2 linked regions of the Diceros bicornis minor genome follow. The protein of the gene in region 2 interacts with the protein of the main gene of each other region in a pairwise test. Links are inferred from orthologs where the notes say so. Each region holds a gene or a part of one and is shown on either strand. Other genes may lie near its edges.

Region 1 (7,358 bases), on a different chromosome or scaffold from region 2:
CTTAGAATTCCAAAGCCAGCTAACCCCACTCCTGCCCAGACCCTTTCACTGAAATTAATCCACCCAAGCCTATCTGACAGGAGCAGGGCCCAGAAGCCAGCCAACAGGTCACAGCCTCAGACTCTCTTCATACTCCTCTTTGGTCATCCACTCAGACTTGTAGGTAGACAGATGAGCCACAACAGATGCTCCTAACCAGACACTAAAGTTTCTGTTGGAACCCACCCATACGGTGGTCTTGGTGGAGCAGAAATGATGTTCGATCAGCTCCTTGTACAGGCGCTTCGTGAAGCCCGGATAGAGGGTGTTCCCCCCGCAGGCCACCACGTGGGAGATGAGCAGTGGGTGCAGAGAGGCTTCGCAGGTCTGGATGGAATCCAAGACAGCCTGAGAGATGCTGGGCCCCTCCAGGTCGAACACCTGGGGGCTGAAGAACATCTCGGGAGCCAGCCGCTGCATGGGGGTCAGCTCCACGGGGGTGCCATCCGGGAGCTGATAGGTGTTGTTCTCATCTGAGCCATTGGGCAGGCTCTGACGGAAGTCCAGCGCCTCCCCCAGATTCTGCGGCACGTAGCACTTGTTCATCTGAGTGTTGGTGACCGTGTCCAGCTGAAACAAGTTGTGTTGGTTGCTATCTTCCTTAAAGAGGCTCTTGAAGAGGTAGGCGGAGAGATCCTGGCCCGCGAACTCCAGCGTCTTACCACTGGGCTGTAAGGGGTGGCCCAGATGGAAAGGCTGCACGCGGGTCAGGCCGTAACCAGAATCAACCACCACGCCGGTCAGCAGGCCAGAGGCGTACAGGGACATCTCCAGCTGGTCGGCCAGGAGTATGGACCGGACATCCAGTAACTCAAACATAATCTGCAAGAAGGGGAGAAGACTGACACACTCAGGGTGTTTTCTCCAAACCAAGGGCCCTGATTCATTTCTGTTTTCCCCAAGACCGTGCTGGGGGCTCAGCTCCCAAAACTGAAATCAGCACAGAACTGCGTCCTCGAGGGACTGGGGGGCTGCCCCAGGACATTGGTCCCAGGACCCCTGGAGCTCATGCTGTGGGAATAAGGGATGGGCTCTAGAGGGTTAGAAAGAGGCAGATTTGCCCTCAGGGGCTGGTTTCATGTGGGGTTTTCAGCACTCCACATGGTGGAGGGGTGGGAAGAGCCATCAGCTGCAGGAAATGGGCTGAGATGCCGGGCTCTGCGAGCAGTGGGGGGACTGGAGGGGGAGCACAGCCAGGAGGCAGATGTGCCGGCTGAACCATTTCTTTGGAAGAGGGAAGAAGAAATAAGCAACAAGTGCAGCATCTTCGCCACTGCCTCCCAAATGGAGGAGTACAAAGAAAAAGAAAACATACGCCCACCTCCTGGTAGGTGAAGCCTTAGTTTTTTTAGAATAAAAACTTTTCAAACATCAAGACAAAACTAGAATTCTAATATTTAGGGTTTGGCCAAGTCCCTAGGCTGATTTACCCCCCACGCCCGTCACCCCCTAGATCTTTACAGAGCACCCCCACCGCCTCCCCAGTTCCCCGGCTCTGGCTACATCCTCAAGTTTCTGATGCTATAGATGAAGAAACGCAGCAACTGTCCCTCCTGCTACAGCCTTTGGAGACTCACCTCCCTCTTTAGGCCCCGGCAGGCCCATCTTCTGCCCTGAGCGGGAGGGAGCTGCCTCGGTTCCCATGCTCAGAATATTGCCCCTCCACCATCCAGTTCCCTAATAGAAGCCAAGGTCCTCCCTTTCAAATAGAAAATCAAATATGACTCCCCCACTTAAAACTCTCCAGCAGGTTTCTATTCATTTAGAGCAGGGGTTGGCAAACATTTTCTGTAAAGGGCTAGACAGGATCGCCAGATTCAGCAAATAGAAATATAGGCTGCCCAGTTAAATCTGGCTTTCAGATAAACAGCAAATAATGTTTTAGTGTAAGTATGTCCCATGCAATATTCGATATTCGAGACATACTTACACTAAAACATTATTTGCTGTTTATCTGAAATTCAAATCTAACTCGGTATCACATATTTTATCTAGCAAACCTACAGTAATAAATATTTTAGGCTTTACAAACCTATACAGTCTCTCTCACAACTACTCAACTCTGCTGCTGCAGTGTGAAAGCAGCCACAGACGATATGTAAATGAGTGGGCGTGGCTATGTTCCAATAAAACTTTATTTATAAAATCAGATGGTGGGCCAAACTTGGCCCACTGGCTGTAGTTTGCCAACCCTTGATTTAGGGTAAAATCCAAGTGTTTCCCACAGCCCACCAGGACTGGAAGGTCTGTCCCCTGCTGACTTCATCTTCCTGTGTCCCTCCTGCCACCTTCCTTAGTTCGCTGGGCTCCAGCCTCATTGGCTGAAATCATCTCCTTAGAGAAGCTCTCCCTCATTACCCTCTTCGAAGGGGTTCCCTCTATCCCCACCAGCCAGCTATCACCCCATTTCATTTTGCTTTTAGAACTAATCGCTCTCTGGATTTTTACTTGTTAACTTATTCATGGTCAAGTCTTCCCCCATAACATAAGCTCTTTAAGGGCTAGAACATGATCTGTGAACATTTATGGAATCCATGAACGAATACCAGGTGTCTCTCCCAGAAGCACCCTTTCCACAGAGTATTTTACCTGCTGCGTCTCTACCTGCAGGAGGAGCCCCCTCTTGCCCAGCACAGTGCTGGGCACACACTAAGTACTCAGTAAACATCTGTGGGGCAAATTACTTAGAAAGCAGAGTTCCTAATGCCCAGTCATGTCTGAACACATAGTGCCAGGCTGCTCCCCTCTCCCCAGTAAGGGCAGCCCCGAGAAGGCCTTACCTCCAGGGTCTTCTGTCGGTCCACAGGCTCCCTCAGGGGGGACTCTGTGACTATCACAGGGGAGTCCTCGTGCTCCCGTCTATGTGTCTCCAGGACGAAGGACCAGATGTGCTCCACGCCCTCCCAGTTGAGGACACGGCCACGCTGGACGGGGTAGCTGAAGGTGTCAGGATGGTAAATGTCGATGCCCAGACTCACGCGTCTTCGGGCGTAGCTGGGGCCGGGGTTCTCCCTGCACGGAATGTAGTTCACAACGCTCGGGAAGACCATCTGGGGCTCATTCCACCCGGACAGGCCAGCCTTCAGAAAGCCAGACCCGTGGTCGATGATAATGGTTCTCGCGGCCATGGCAGAGGCAGAGGAGGGAGAGGCCTTCCGGACTTGGCTCCTCAAAGATGTTTGACAGACTAGGGCCACCTATGGAGGGAAAGGATGGGGGTTGTGAACCCATTCTAGGCCCCCGTGGGCTGCTTCCCACTCTCCACCCCAGAGTCAAACCCCAGGCTCCCTTGAAGCCTATCTGTTCCCCCTTCCAAGACTTTACACAAGCTGTAACCTGCTCCTGGAATGTTCTTCCCGTCCCAGACTCCCAATCGTCCTACAAGGCCCACCTAATGGGCCCCCTCTGGAAAGTCCTGCCAACCCCTCCTTCCCACCAAGCTTCTCTCGTGGCACTTTGCACACTCCTCTACTACACCAGGCGGGCACTTCCACTCCACAGGAGCAGAGGTTGGGCCCTGTTACTCTTTGCAGACTCGGCAAGAAGCTTGTCATGCAGGAAGTGCTTGGTGGACGTTGGCTGCCTGACTCAAGGACACACAGAAGGCGAATCATCAGCCTCAGGGCCGCCGCGCTCAACAGCAACAGTGCAGCAGCCACAGCAGCAGGAGTAGTAGGAATAATAGTGACGATGACAACGACAATGACGATAATGACGACAGCTACAGCTACCATTCCTGGAGTACACACCCGCCATTTAGTACTATCAGGAACATTTGCATATTAGGTTGAACTATGTAAAATTGCCATTTGTGTCAGTCAAAAAGGATCAAACACCAGCAATTTCATGTGGTTTGACCCGATACTGGACTCAATCTTTAAAGCAATCTTAAGACAGCTACCATTGTTACACGCATTTTACAGAAAGGGAAACTGAGGCACAAGGGGGTAAAGTTGCTTTCTCAGGGCCACACATGAGTAAAAGCAGGGCTGAGAGTTAAACCCGAACTAGACTCCAAAGGCCACACTCTGAGCATCAGGCGAGGCATGAAGACGTGGGTTTCGAGTATGAGCTGAGCAGCTAACGTCTTATATAAGGGAGGCTGTAAGCAGGACATCTAAGCACGATGGTCAGTTTCCTTATCTGTAAAGCTGGGGAATGATAACTGCCACGCTAAAAAAATGGTGTGGTCACTGCCTGGTTTCCAGACTTACTGTAAAACTACAGAAGCCGAGACAATGTGGTATTGGTGAAAGGATAGTCACGTAGACCCATGGGACAGAACAGAGAGTCCAGAAATAGACCCACACTAAAAAGGTCGCCTGATCTTTGACAAGGTGCAAAAACAATTAAATTGAGGAAGATGAGTCTTTACAATAAATGATAGGAAACAACTGGATGTCCATATGCAAAAAAATTAACCTTAATACAACATCACACCTTACAAAAAACCAACTCAAAATGGATCATAGACCTACATGTAAAACCTAAAACTATAAAACTTTTTTTAAAATAACATAGGAGAAAATCTTTGTGACCTGAGGTAAGGTAAAGTTTTCTTAGATATAACTTCAATAGCCTGATCCATAAGAGAACAATTTTTTTTTTTTTTGTGAGGAAGATCAGCCCTGAGCTAACATCCATGCTAATCCTCCTCTTTTTTTTTTGCTGAGGAAGACCAGCTCTGAGCTAACATCTATTGCCAATCCTCCTCCTTATTTTTTCCCCCAAAGCCCCAGTAGATAGTTATATGTCATAGTTGCACATCCTTCTAGTTGCTGTACGTGGGATGCGGCCTCAGCATGGCCAGACAAGTAGTGGGTCGGTGCGCGCCCGGGATCCGAACCCGGGCCGCCAGTAGCAGAGCGTGTGCACTTAACCACTAAGCCATGGGGCCGGCCCAAGAACAAATTGATAAACTGGACGTCGTCAAATTTAAGAACTTTTGCTCTTCAAAAGATGCTGTTAAGAGAATAAAAAGACAAGCCATAGACTGGGAGGAAATATTTATAAATCATATATCTGATAAAGACCTTGTATTCAAAAAATATAAAGAATTCACAAAACCCAATAATAAGAAAAACAACCTAATTTTTTTTAAATGAGCAAAAGATTTAAACATTTCACAAAAGAAGATAGATGGACGGCAAATAAACACATGAAAAGATGCTCAACATCATTAGTAATTAGGAAAATGGAAATTAAAACCACAAGAAGATACCACTACATACCTATGAGAATGGCTAAAGATAAAAGCTGGCTATACCAAGTGCTGACGAGGCAGAGGAACTGAAACCTTCAGACACTGCTGGGGAATGTGAAAGAGCACAACCACTTTGGAAAACAGTCTGGAAGCTTCTTAAAAAGTTAAATTTATACCTACCATTCAACCTAGTATTTCTACTCCTAGTTTATTCACCCAAGGGAAACAAAAGCTTACGTTCACACAAAAACCTTTACGCACATGTTTATGGTAGCTTTATTCATAATCACCAAAAACTTGAAACTATCTAAATATCCTTCAACTGGGGAATGGAAAAAGAAATCTCCATTCAATGGAATAATACTCAGCAATAAAAAGCAACAAGTAACTGATACACCCAATAACATGAATAAATCTCAAATGTATTAAGCTGAGTGAAAAAAAGCCAGACCCAAAAGGCTACATACTGTATGACTCTACTCATATGACATCCTGGAAAAGGCACAACTGTAAGGACAGAAAACAGATCGGTGGCTGCCAGCACCGGAGGTGGAGAGAGGGGTTGACCACAAAAGATCTTAGTAGAATTTGGGGGTGACGATAGAACTGTGCTATATCTGGATTGTGGAAGTGGGTATATAACTGTATGCATTTGTCAAAACTCTTGCAATTATACGCTAAAAAGAATGACTTTTACTCTAAGTAAAAAAATTTTAAGGGAAAAACCCAGTGGGCACGGGGACAAATGGAGGGTTTATGAAATCGCCTTGTAGAATACAAATTGTCACACAAACAGCAGACTTGGTGCCTTGAATGCACGTGGGTATTTTCTGTAAGACAGACATCCAGGGAGGCCACTCAGCCGATGGCTGCATTCTGGGGCTGGCCCTAGCCAGTGGCTCCCCATCGTCACCAGCCTTGGGGCACTGATTAGGCTTCACTGCCTCTAATTAGCTCTGACATCAGATGGGGGAGGGCAAAAAAGAAAGAAATGCAGTTGAGGCGCTGGTCTCCTTTCTCGCCTGCTGGCAGGCTGAGTAATGGATTCCTCACACTCAATCACCCAGAGTGATGGAGAACCAGGGCCTACTTGACATTCTGGGAAGCGGGCTCTGCCACGGACCTCCCCGTCGCAAGAGCAGGGTGACTGATAAGTGCTTCCTTGGCCCTGGCATTTGGAATCACAGGAGACATTGGAGGGTGATGTCCACTGTGGCTGTCGATCAGGATGTCCACTGAGGGGGACTCCAGCCTGGAGACCAACTGACCTGGCCTGGGAGCACGAGGGTCGGGGGAAGGGGGCCATTCCTCCCCTGGACTATGACTGTAGGAAGAAAGTTGGATGGCTCCAAGAGCCAGCTCCAAGGATAGAGATAAAATCTACATATTCAAAAGTATTTTTACTGAGTTACCTATTCTACAAATCCTTACTGAGCACCCACTATGTACCAAAAACCATTCTAGACTAACATAGTTCCTGCCCTCCCAGAGCTTACATTCTACTGAGAAAGACTGTCAGTAAGCACCAGATCAAATGTGTCACACCAGCGAGGGTTAGTACAACGAAGAAAAAGAAAACCTGATAAGAAGAACAGGGATTATAAGGGACACAGAGGAACGATGTTATCCTAAATAGGGAAATCAGAAAAGTCCTCTCTATAAGGTGACATTTGAGTAGAGAACTGAACGGAGTGAGAGAATAAGGCATATGATTACATGGAAAAGCATTCCAAGCCAAAGGAACAGCAAGTGCAAAGGCCCCGAGGAAGAAGCTGCTAGATGTGCTCTAGGAACAGGCAGGAGGCCAGTATAGTGGAGATGTAGTGGGCGAGGGGAAGGGTGTTGAAGATCTCGGGTGGGTCTCGCAGGCCTTTGTATTGTGCTTAGACACGTGGGAAACCACTGGGGGTCTGAACAGAGGAATGACATGCTCTGACTTGAGTTATAAAAGGACCACTTGGGCCGATATGAAGAATAGAGTGTAAAGGGCAAGAGAAGGGGCAGGAGATGGAAAGGAAGGACGTGAGAGATGACGGTGGCCTGCACTAAGGTGCCTAAGGCGGTAGCAGTGAAGAGGATGAGAGGTGGTCAGAATCTGCATGTGTTAAAGACAGAC
Region 2 (7,339 bases):
CCATGTATTTTGGATTACCATATGGAAAAAACCTTAGACTGCTGTATTTCTTTTTTAAAAAATTTTATTTATTTGTTTTTTTGAGGAAGATTAGCCCTGAGCTAACATATGTTGCCAATCTTCCTCCTTTTTTCCCCCCAAAGCTCCAGTAGATAGTTGTATGTCATAGCTGTACATCCTTCTAGTGGCTCTATGTGGGACGCCGCCTCAGGATGGCTTGATGAGCAGTGCGTAGGTCCACACCCAGGATCTGAACCGGCGAACCCCTGGGCCGCAGCCAAAGCAGAATGCGTGAACTTAACCACCACGCCACCCAGCTGGTCCCTGGACTGGTATATTTCTTCTTTTTTTTTTTTTGTGAGGAAGGTCAGCCCTGAGCTAACATCCATGCCAATCCTCCTCTTTTTGCTGAGGAAGACCGGCCCTGAGCTAACATCTATTGCCAATCCTCTTCCTTTTTTCCCCCAAAGCCCCAGTAGACAGGTGTATGTCATAGTTGCACATCCTTCTAGTTGCTGTATGTGGGACGCAGCCTCAGCATGGCCGGAGAAGCGGTGCGTCGGTGTGCGCCCGGGATCCGAACCCGGGCTGCCAGTAGCGGAGCACGCGCACTTAACCGCCAAGCCACGGGGCCGGCCCCTACACTGGTATATTTCTAATAGAAGTTTACTCCCTCCTCAAAATATATATGTACTTTAAATTTAAAAACACGTATTCAATATAAAATACTCTTGATTAAAAAGCTTCCAGGAAACACTATATATAACCCTAAATTGTTAAATTTCAGGGAAATTTCCTTCATAGCGATTAACAAGAATAATACCAAAACCTATATTCCTGTTGCTTCTACATATGCAGCAACATTGAAATTACTTACCTACCATAAAAGTGGCCAAATACTACATTTTTGTGCATTTAAATATCAAGGAGACAGTCTTCCACTTTTTGTCATACAATATACCTACTACACTGCTCTGCACACAGTGAATACTCAGAGCACCAGTGCTCTTTCCACCAGTCACTCCAATCCTCCCCCCACTCCCCCAAAACTGATGGTCAACAGGTCAAATGTACAGCTTGTTTTGTAAAATATTTAACGTCACCACAATACTAATTTGGAAGTCTGCTTTTCATTTATTGAGAAAAGTGATGAAACTACCAGAATCACTGAGAAGCAAAGAACCCATTACAAAACAATTCCATCTGAAAATGCATACCTATATTACACAATGCGTTCAATACAGATTTCTAAATTACAAGATATATTTAATCTAAAGAAATCCTAGGGAACTTCACTTTACTGAAAACTTTTCATGGAAATTCCAATAATGATCACAATACCAACACACATAGTAATTTTTCTGCTATACAAATAAAAGTTAGCACTTGCAAGCCTTAGTTCTGACATCTCTCGCCTTTCTTAGGCTCTTTCTCACCAGCCTTCTGAAGACAATATAACGCCTAATATGAAACAATTCCACAAACGATGACCAAATGCCTAGCCAACGCACGTATACTGGGAACAGGGTGATTTCTTAATAGCCAGTAGCTGCACATGACCTAGTATCTTATGACCAACCAGCTTGTTGAAGGACTGGCCGCAGCTCCCCCTCTCCAAGTTAAATGCTAGCTCCAACCATTTCTAAAAGTTTAACAGGAAGGGAGAAGGAAGTAAAAAAGACAATGTGAACCTTCTGATAGCAAAAACTTAAAAAAAAAAAAAAAAACCCAAAACCAAAAAACTGCCCCAGAAAAATAAAAGATCACCCACTTTCTCCCTTAAAAAAGGCCTCATCTATTTTAACTTAGCCTTCAAGTCCTACAAGTGACTATCTGCATTGCTAAAATTTTGAAAAAGGGAGTTTTAAAAAATACAGCAAAATAAGATGTCTTTTCCTTACGCTGGTCCTCTGACTGCAAGAATATTTTAACTAAAATTAATACTAAATAACGCTCTTCTTCCTCGACTAAAGGTCGGTCTCCTTCTGACATGTTCCAAGTCACTATGAATATTTCTTGTACCTATCATGTGCTGATTCAACAGTTCTTTTCTGAACTGGGGTCAAGGATGAGGGGAAAAGTACACAGGTCCTCCTCAGTGAGATGTCTCACCCCATCTAACCTGGCACAGTTCACCACCTCCGATTTCAGCACCAAGCCGGGCTGCTCCTGCTTCTGTCTTAACAGCCGCGGCCGTAGAACCCTCAACCTCCCTCTGTTCGGCATCTCCCGGCTACCCCCGTTTGAGGTCCGACTGGCATCACTCCCATACCCAGCTGTTCAGACACCGCTCTTGTCCGTCCTGGATTCCTACACCCGGGACAGCTGCCGCCCTGAGTCCCAAGTCGCGGTCGCATCTCGTTCCCAAACTGGAGCCGGGGCTGGGACACGTCTTCCCCGGTGCTCGGCCGCCGAGCTAGGGCAGGCGAGGACGACAGTCCCCTTCCCCCGCACCCCACGGCCCCCTGGCCCGGGCCCGGCCGCGGCGGCCCTCCGCTCCGCACCCCGGCACATTCCGCAGCCCCCGCCCGGACGGCCCGCGCCTCTCGCCCAGCCCCAGCCCACGCCCTCAGCGGCCCGGCTCCCTGGCGGCAGGTGAGTCCGGGCCGCGGGCCCTTGGCCGCCGGGGTGCTCACCTTACTGAGGACCCCGCAGCGCTCCACCGGCAGCCTGGACTCCGTCTCCGGGTCCTCCTCCGAGCCCGACGAGTTCCAGCTCTGGTTATCCGACATGGAGGCGCGACAGCCGAGCAGGAGCCCGGCCCCCGCTCCCTGCGCTGCGCCGGAGGAGGCGCCCAGTGCCCGGGGTGAAGGGTCGGGGGATGGCGAAGGCAGGGGAGCGCGCTCCGGCGCGGGGGGGAGCGGCAGGAGGGACGAAGTCCGCCCGCCGCGCCTGACACCGAGCGGACCGGGGAAGGAGGACGCGCGGCGAGGGAAGCCCGCCCTTCCAGCCGTCAGCCGCCGCCGCCGCCGTGACCCCCGCGGTGCGCCCGGCGCGGCCGCCCGAACTCAGCCCCCTCGATGCCAAGCTCAGCCAGAAAAACACGGGAGGAAGACGGACGAGGAAATCCAGCCGCAGACCCGAGGCCACTCAGACCTCCGCTACGCCGCCATCTTCCTGCCTGGCCCACTATTTACCCTCCCCTCCGCTCTGCCCTCCCCTCTCCCCCGGGCCCCGCCCCGGCCCCTCCCGACGTCTGACGCGGCACGCCGAGGCTCGGGATCTCCGCCCGCGCCTGCCTCCGGCCCTCCCGGGTGACGCGGCTAGACGAGGGGGAGGAGCGGAGAGAGGAGGAGGAGGAGGGACGGGGACGCCGCCGCGCTGCATTTTGGGAAGGTCGCTGCTCCGTCGGCCGCGCGGCCTCCCGGGAGTTGTAGTCGCGATCCTGAGGCAACGGGTGAGTGCTCCGCGCCGGGAAGGCTTGTCGCGTTGGGGGCGGTCAAGCAGTGGCTGGGCTTCGTGTGACAGTTGCGTGACCCGTCCCCTCGGCCGCGCTTTTATCTCTGCCGAGCCTCTTTGTGACGAACCCCCTGGGCTTGCGGGCCCGGACGTGGTAACTCTCCGCTGAGGATGGCGGGCCTGCCTCCATGACGGCTTCCCGAAAGCCCGGGAGCATCTTCCCGCTCGCCCAGGCGGGAGTGTACCCGGCGCATCCGCCTCGGCCGCGGGCCAGGGGTTTGCCACCTCTCTGGTGACACGGGAGTTCCTTTCCGCCCAAACTCCTCTGCCAATTTCGGAGGGCTTGCACCTTGCTCTTTGGAAGTGAGTCTTCACGCTTGACGTTTCCCGCTTTTGAAGGAAGCATGCTCAGTCCCGTCGCACCAGAGCAAGCCCTTCTCGTTGTTAGATTTTCGGTTTTTGTTTTGTGGAAAGTCATTTTGAAGATGTCTGAGAATAAATGACGCTTGAGGAGCTTTTAAAGTAAAATGAGAATGTGAGATGATAGCCTGGAGTTTTCTCTGAGTTGTGGGTGAGGATCTTCCTGAGCCCCAGGTTAACCATCTCTACCGACCCGCCTCTCTCTGAAAGACAGGAAAGGTTGGAATAGAAACTCTCTTGTGTAGGAAAGATCCAAGTGCAGTAGTCGTATTGCATATGGAGGGATTAGGCAATAGGAGGCTGGCTTTGTTTTAAGACCAGAATTAGTGGAAGGACCAGTAAAAGAACTAACGTCTCGTCTAGTCGTTTTGCATACGTTTAAGGATAACTTTTATTGTGAGATCTTGAGCTATGTAGCTTCAGTTCTTTTCTCTCGTTTGCTATTTTTACATCTTGTTAATTTCCTAATCATTACCAACAGTAAAATTCCTGGTTAAACCTTAGAAAGAATACCTGCTTACTGCAGGGACGAGAGGATAGCAGTGAAATTACGAGCCTAGGGGAAAAGGCACAGTGGCCAGAAGTAACTCTGGTAGCGATAGTGGCCAATTTAACTGGGATCTTTAGCAAAAAACGGAATGATGGGAAGTGCCTCTGAGAAATATCTAAGGTATCTTTCAGTCCCCTAGATTGACACTTATAGATGCTGAATCTATGTAAATAAGTTACAAATTTTGTCCATTGTGAAATCAAGGGATAATAATTGAAAGCCATTCAGGTGAATAAAACCTTGAGATAAAGCTTTTGAAAATACTGTATTAACATGTTAATTAAAACATAATCCCAAGGTTGTCATTCAAAAGACAAAAAAGAAAATCCACAGCACATCTTTTCCTCTTTATTGAGTTACTAAATTATACCTTTAGAATGATGAATACTGAAGCAATTAAGTTTTGTTTTGCCTTCCGATTACCTAATATAGTTAGACTTCCTATTTCTGGATCTTTTAAGCTCTAAGTTTTAAAATGTCATTAGTCTTAATAAATGGTTGTGAATTGTTGAGATATCCACTTCATAATGCAGTTTAGAATCGTGGGAGCATAGTATATGTTTATTTTTAAATTGGACTTTCTGTTGTGTGCATTTCTAAGTTGTGTGTGGTTGTAACCACCAACACGTAGCTCACTAAGGTGCCCACTTACTCAGTAGGAAATTGTTTCATTGTATTTAATATTAATATGAGAGAAAATTTCCTTTTTAAAAAAGATTTTTGCCACGTTGTTCCTCTATACTTATAAGATTATTAAAAAATTTTTTTTAAGTACAGAAGGATTTTTGTATACTGATTAGAATACCACATTAGAGGTTGGGATTCTCTTCATTTCTGTTGAAGGGAAGAAATTGCAGTACAAGAATAAAATAACGTGAGCTTGCTTTCTGTTCTCTGGTGAGAGGGATACCTTCTGAGATTTCTCTCTTACTTAGAGCTTCCCCCAACCCTCTTATGAATGTTCTGTATTTTCTCTTTTAGTAATTTTTTTTTTTTACTTTTAGAACTTGAACCCACCTGGGATTTATTTTTGTATATGGAATGAGGTAGGAATTTAATTGTTACTTGAGGACAGCCACTTGGCCCAACACTTCATTGAATAGTCTGTTCTTACCCTTATATCTATGTGATATGCAGGTCTGTTTCTGGACTCCATTCTTTTTCATTGATCTATTTGTCTACCTATGCTAATACCATACTGATTTAATTACTTGACTTTACACTCTTTTCATATATATAATAGCAAAATTCTGCTAATGTTCTTTTTCATTTGGATATTTTTGTGTATCTTCTCTTCCAGGTTAATTTTAGAACAGCTTGTCAAATTGCATGAAAAATTCTATGGGGATTTGGATTGAGAATGCACTTAATTTGTAAAGAAAATGACATCTTTACAATTTTAAGTCTTAGCCTGGGTCAGGCGTTTTACATTCCTGATCTGACTTTTTCCTTACAAACTATATAAGTTTGGCCTCATTTTAAGGATACTGCAGGGCCGGCCCCGTGGCTTAGTGGTTAAGTGTGCGAGCTCCGCTGCTGGCGGCCCGGGTTCGGATCCCGGGCGCGCACCGACGCACCGCTTCTCCGGCCATGCTGAGGCCGCATCCCATATACAGCAACTAGAAGGATGTGCAGCTGTGACATACAACTATCTACTGGGGCTTTGGGGGGGGGGGGTTAAAAAATAAGGATAATACAGCTGAAGCTCAGGGAGGCTAAGTTACCCAGTGTTGTATAGCTGCTAAGTGGCAGAGTTAGGATTTGAACACAGACCTATCTGATTTCAGAGATCATACCCTTTTCTTTGCTTCAGAATACCTCTCAAAGTGGGAAGAATTGTGTAAATAAATAATATATCCTGTAGATAAGTATATCAGAGCAACTATGCTCTTAATTCAGCTAATGATTTTGAAAATCTTTCCTTTATCCAGCTCTTAGATCTATGCTGTCTTATTTAACTCCAATGTAGAATTTATTATTTCTATTCTGTTTCTATTTCTTATATTTCACATGAATAAACTGAACCACAGAGAAGTTAAATAACTTTCCAAAGGTCATACAGCTAGTAAAAAGCATAGTTGTAGTTTGAGCCCAAGTATCCTGTTTCCAGCCTTCTCATCCCACTAGAGTTCTTCAATTCCTCTTTCTCCCTGTTTTCCACCTTATCTCATTCTCCCAGCTCTTATCTCCACTAAACACCAATCCCAAAGACTTCATCCCTGCCTTCTACTCCCACTGGCAAAACACAGAAGCCAGAAAACACTGAGGTATTGGAACTGAGACTCTTTGCAATTTTACTGATTAACAGATAGAGGAATGAGGGGAAATATTTGTTCTCAATTCTGTAACTATAACAGGAGAGGATGTCCCACATTGAAACTGAAAAGATTGTCTAATTTTTAAAAATGGTGCTGTAAAGAGCCTTTATTAGTCAGCTCAGGTTGCCATAACAAAATACCACAGACTGGGTAGCTCTAGTCCCGCTTCCTCTTTTTTTTTTTGGGGGGGAAGATCAGCCCTGAGCTAACATCCATACTAATCCTCCTCTTTTGCTGAGGAAGACCGGCTCTGAGCTAATATCTATTGCTAGTCCTCCTCCTTTTTTTCTCCAAAGCCCCAGTAGATAGTTGTATGTCATAGTTGCACATCCTTCTAGTTGCTGTATGTGGGACGTGGCCTCAGCATGGCTGGAGAAGCGCTGCGTCCATGCGTGCCCGGGATCCGAACCCATCCCACCAGTAGTGGAGCGCGCGCACTTAACCACTAAGCCACAGGGCCAGCCCACCTCTTCCTCTTCTTATAAGAACCCCACACTTATGACTTTACTTAACCTTAATTACCTCTTTACAGGCCCTATCTCCAAATACAGTCACATTGGAAGTTAGGGCTTCAAATATGAATTTTGGAGGGACACAGTGTAGTCCATAACAGAGCTTATAGGTTCTGTATTCCCACAGTATGTATTAAAGA

Evidence for each region.
Region 1: the proteins of CERT1 (region 2) and ACTL8 interact in binary tests that used the Homo sapiens proteins (3 or more experiments, as listed by UniProt). The two-hybrid records come from large-scale screens. The link is inferred for Diceros bicornis minor from reciprocal best matches to the Homo sapiens genes CERT1 and ACTL8.

What each region holds. Positions count from the first base shown.
Region 1 is NC_080752.1:35,111,926-35,119,283, reverse strand, and holds ACTL8 (actin-like protein 8), read right to left. Parts: upstream 3,168-7,358; coding exon 2,820-3,167; intron 862-2,819; coding exon 109-861; downstream 1-108.
Region 2 is NC_080740.1:4,955,575-4,962,913, forward strand, and holds the start of CERT1 (ceramide transfer protein), read right to left. Parts: upstream 3,076-7,339; 5' UTR 2,733-3,075; coding exon 2,637-2,732; intron 1-2,636. UniProt on the Homo sapiens protein: Shelters ceramides and diacylglycerol lipids inside its START domain and mediates the intracellular trafficking of ceramides and diacylglycerol lipids in a non-vesicular manner.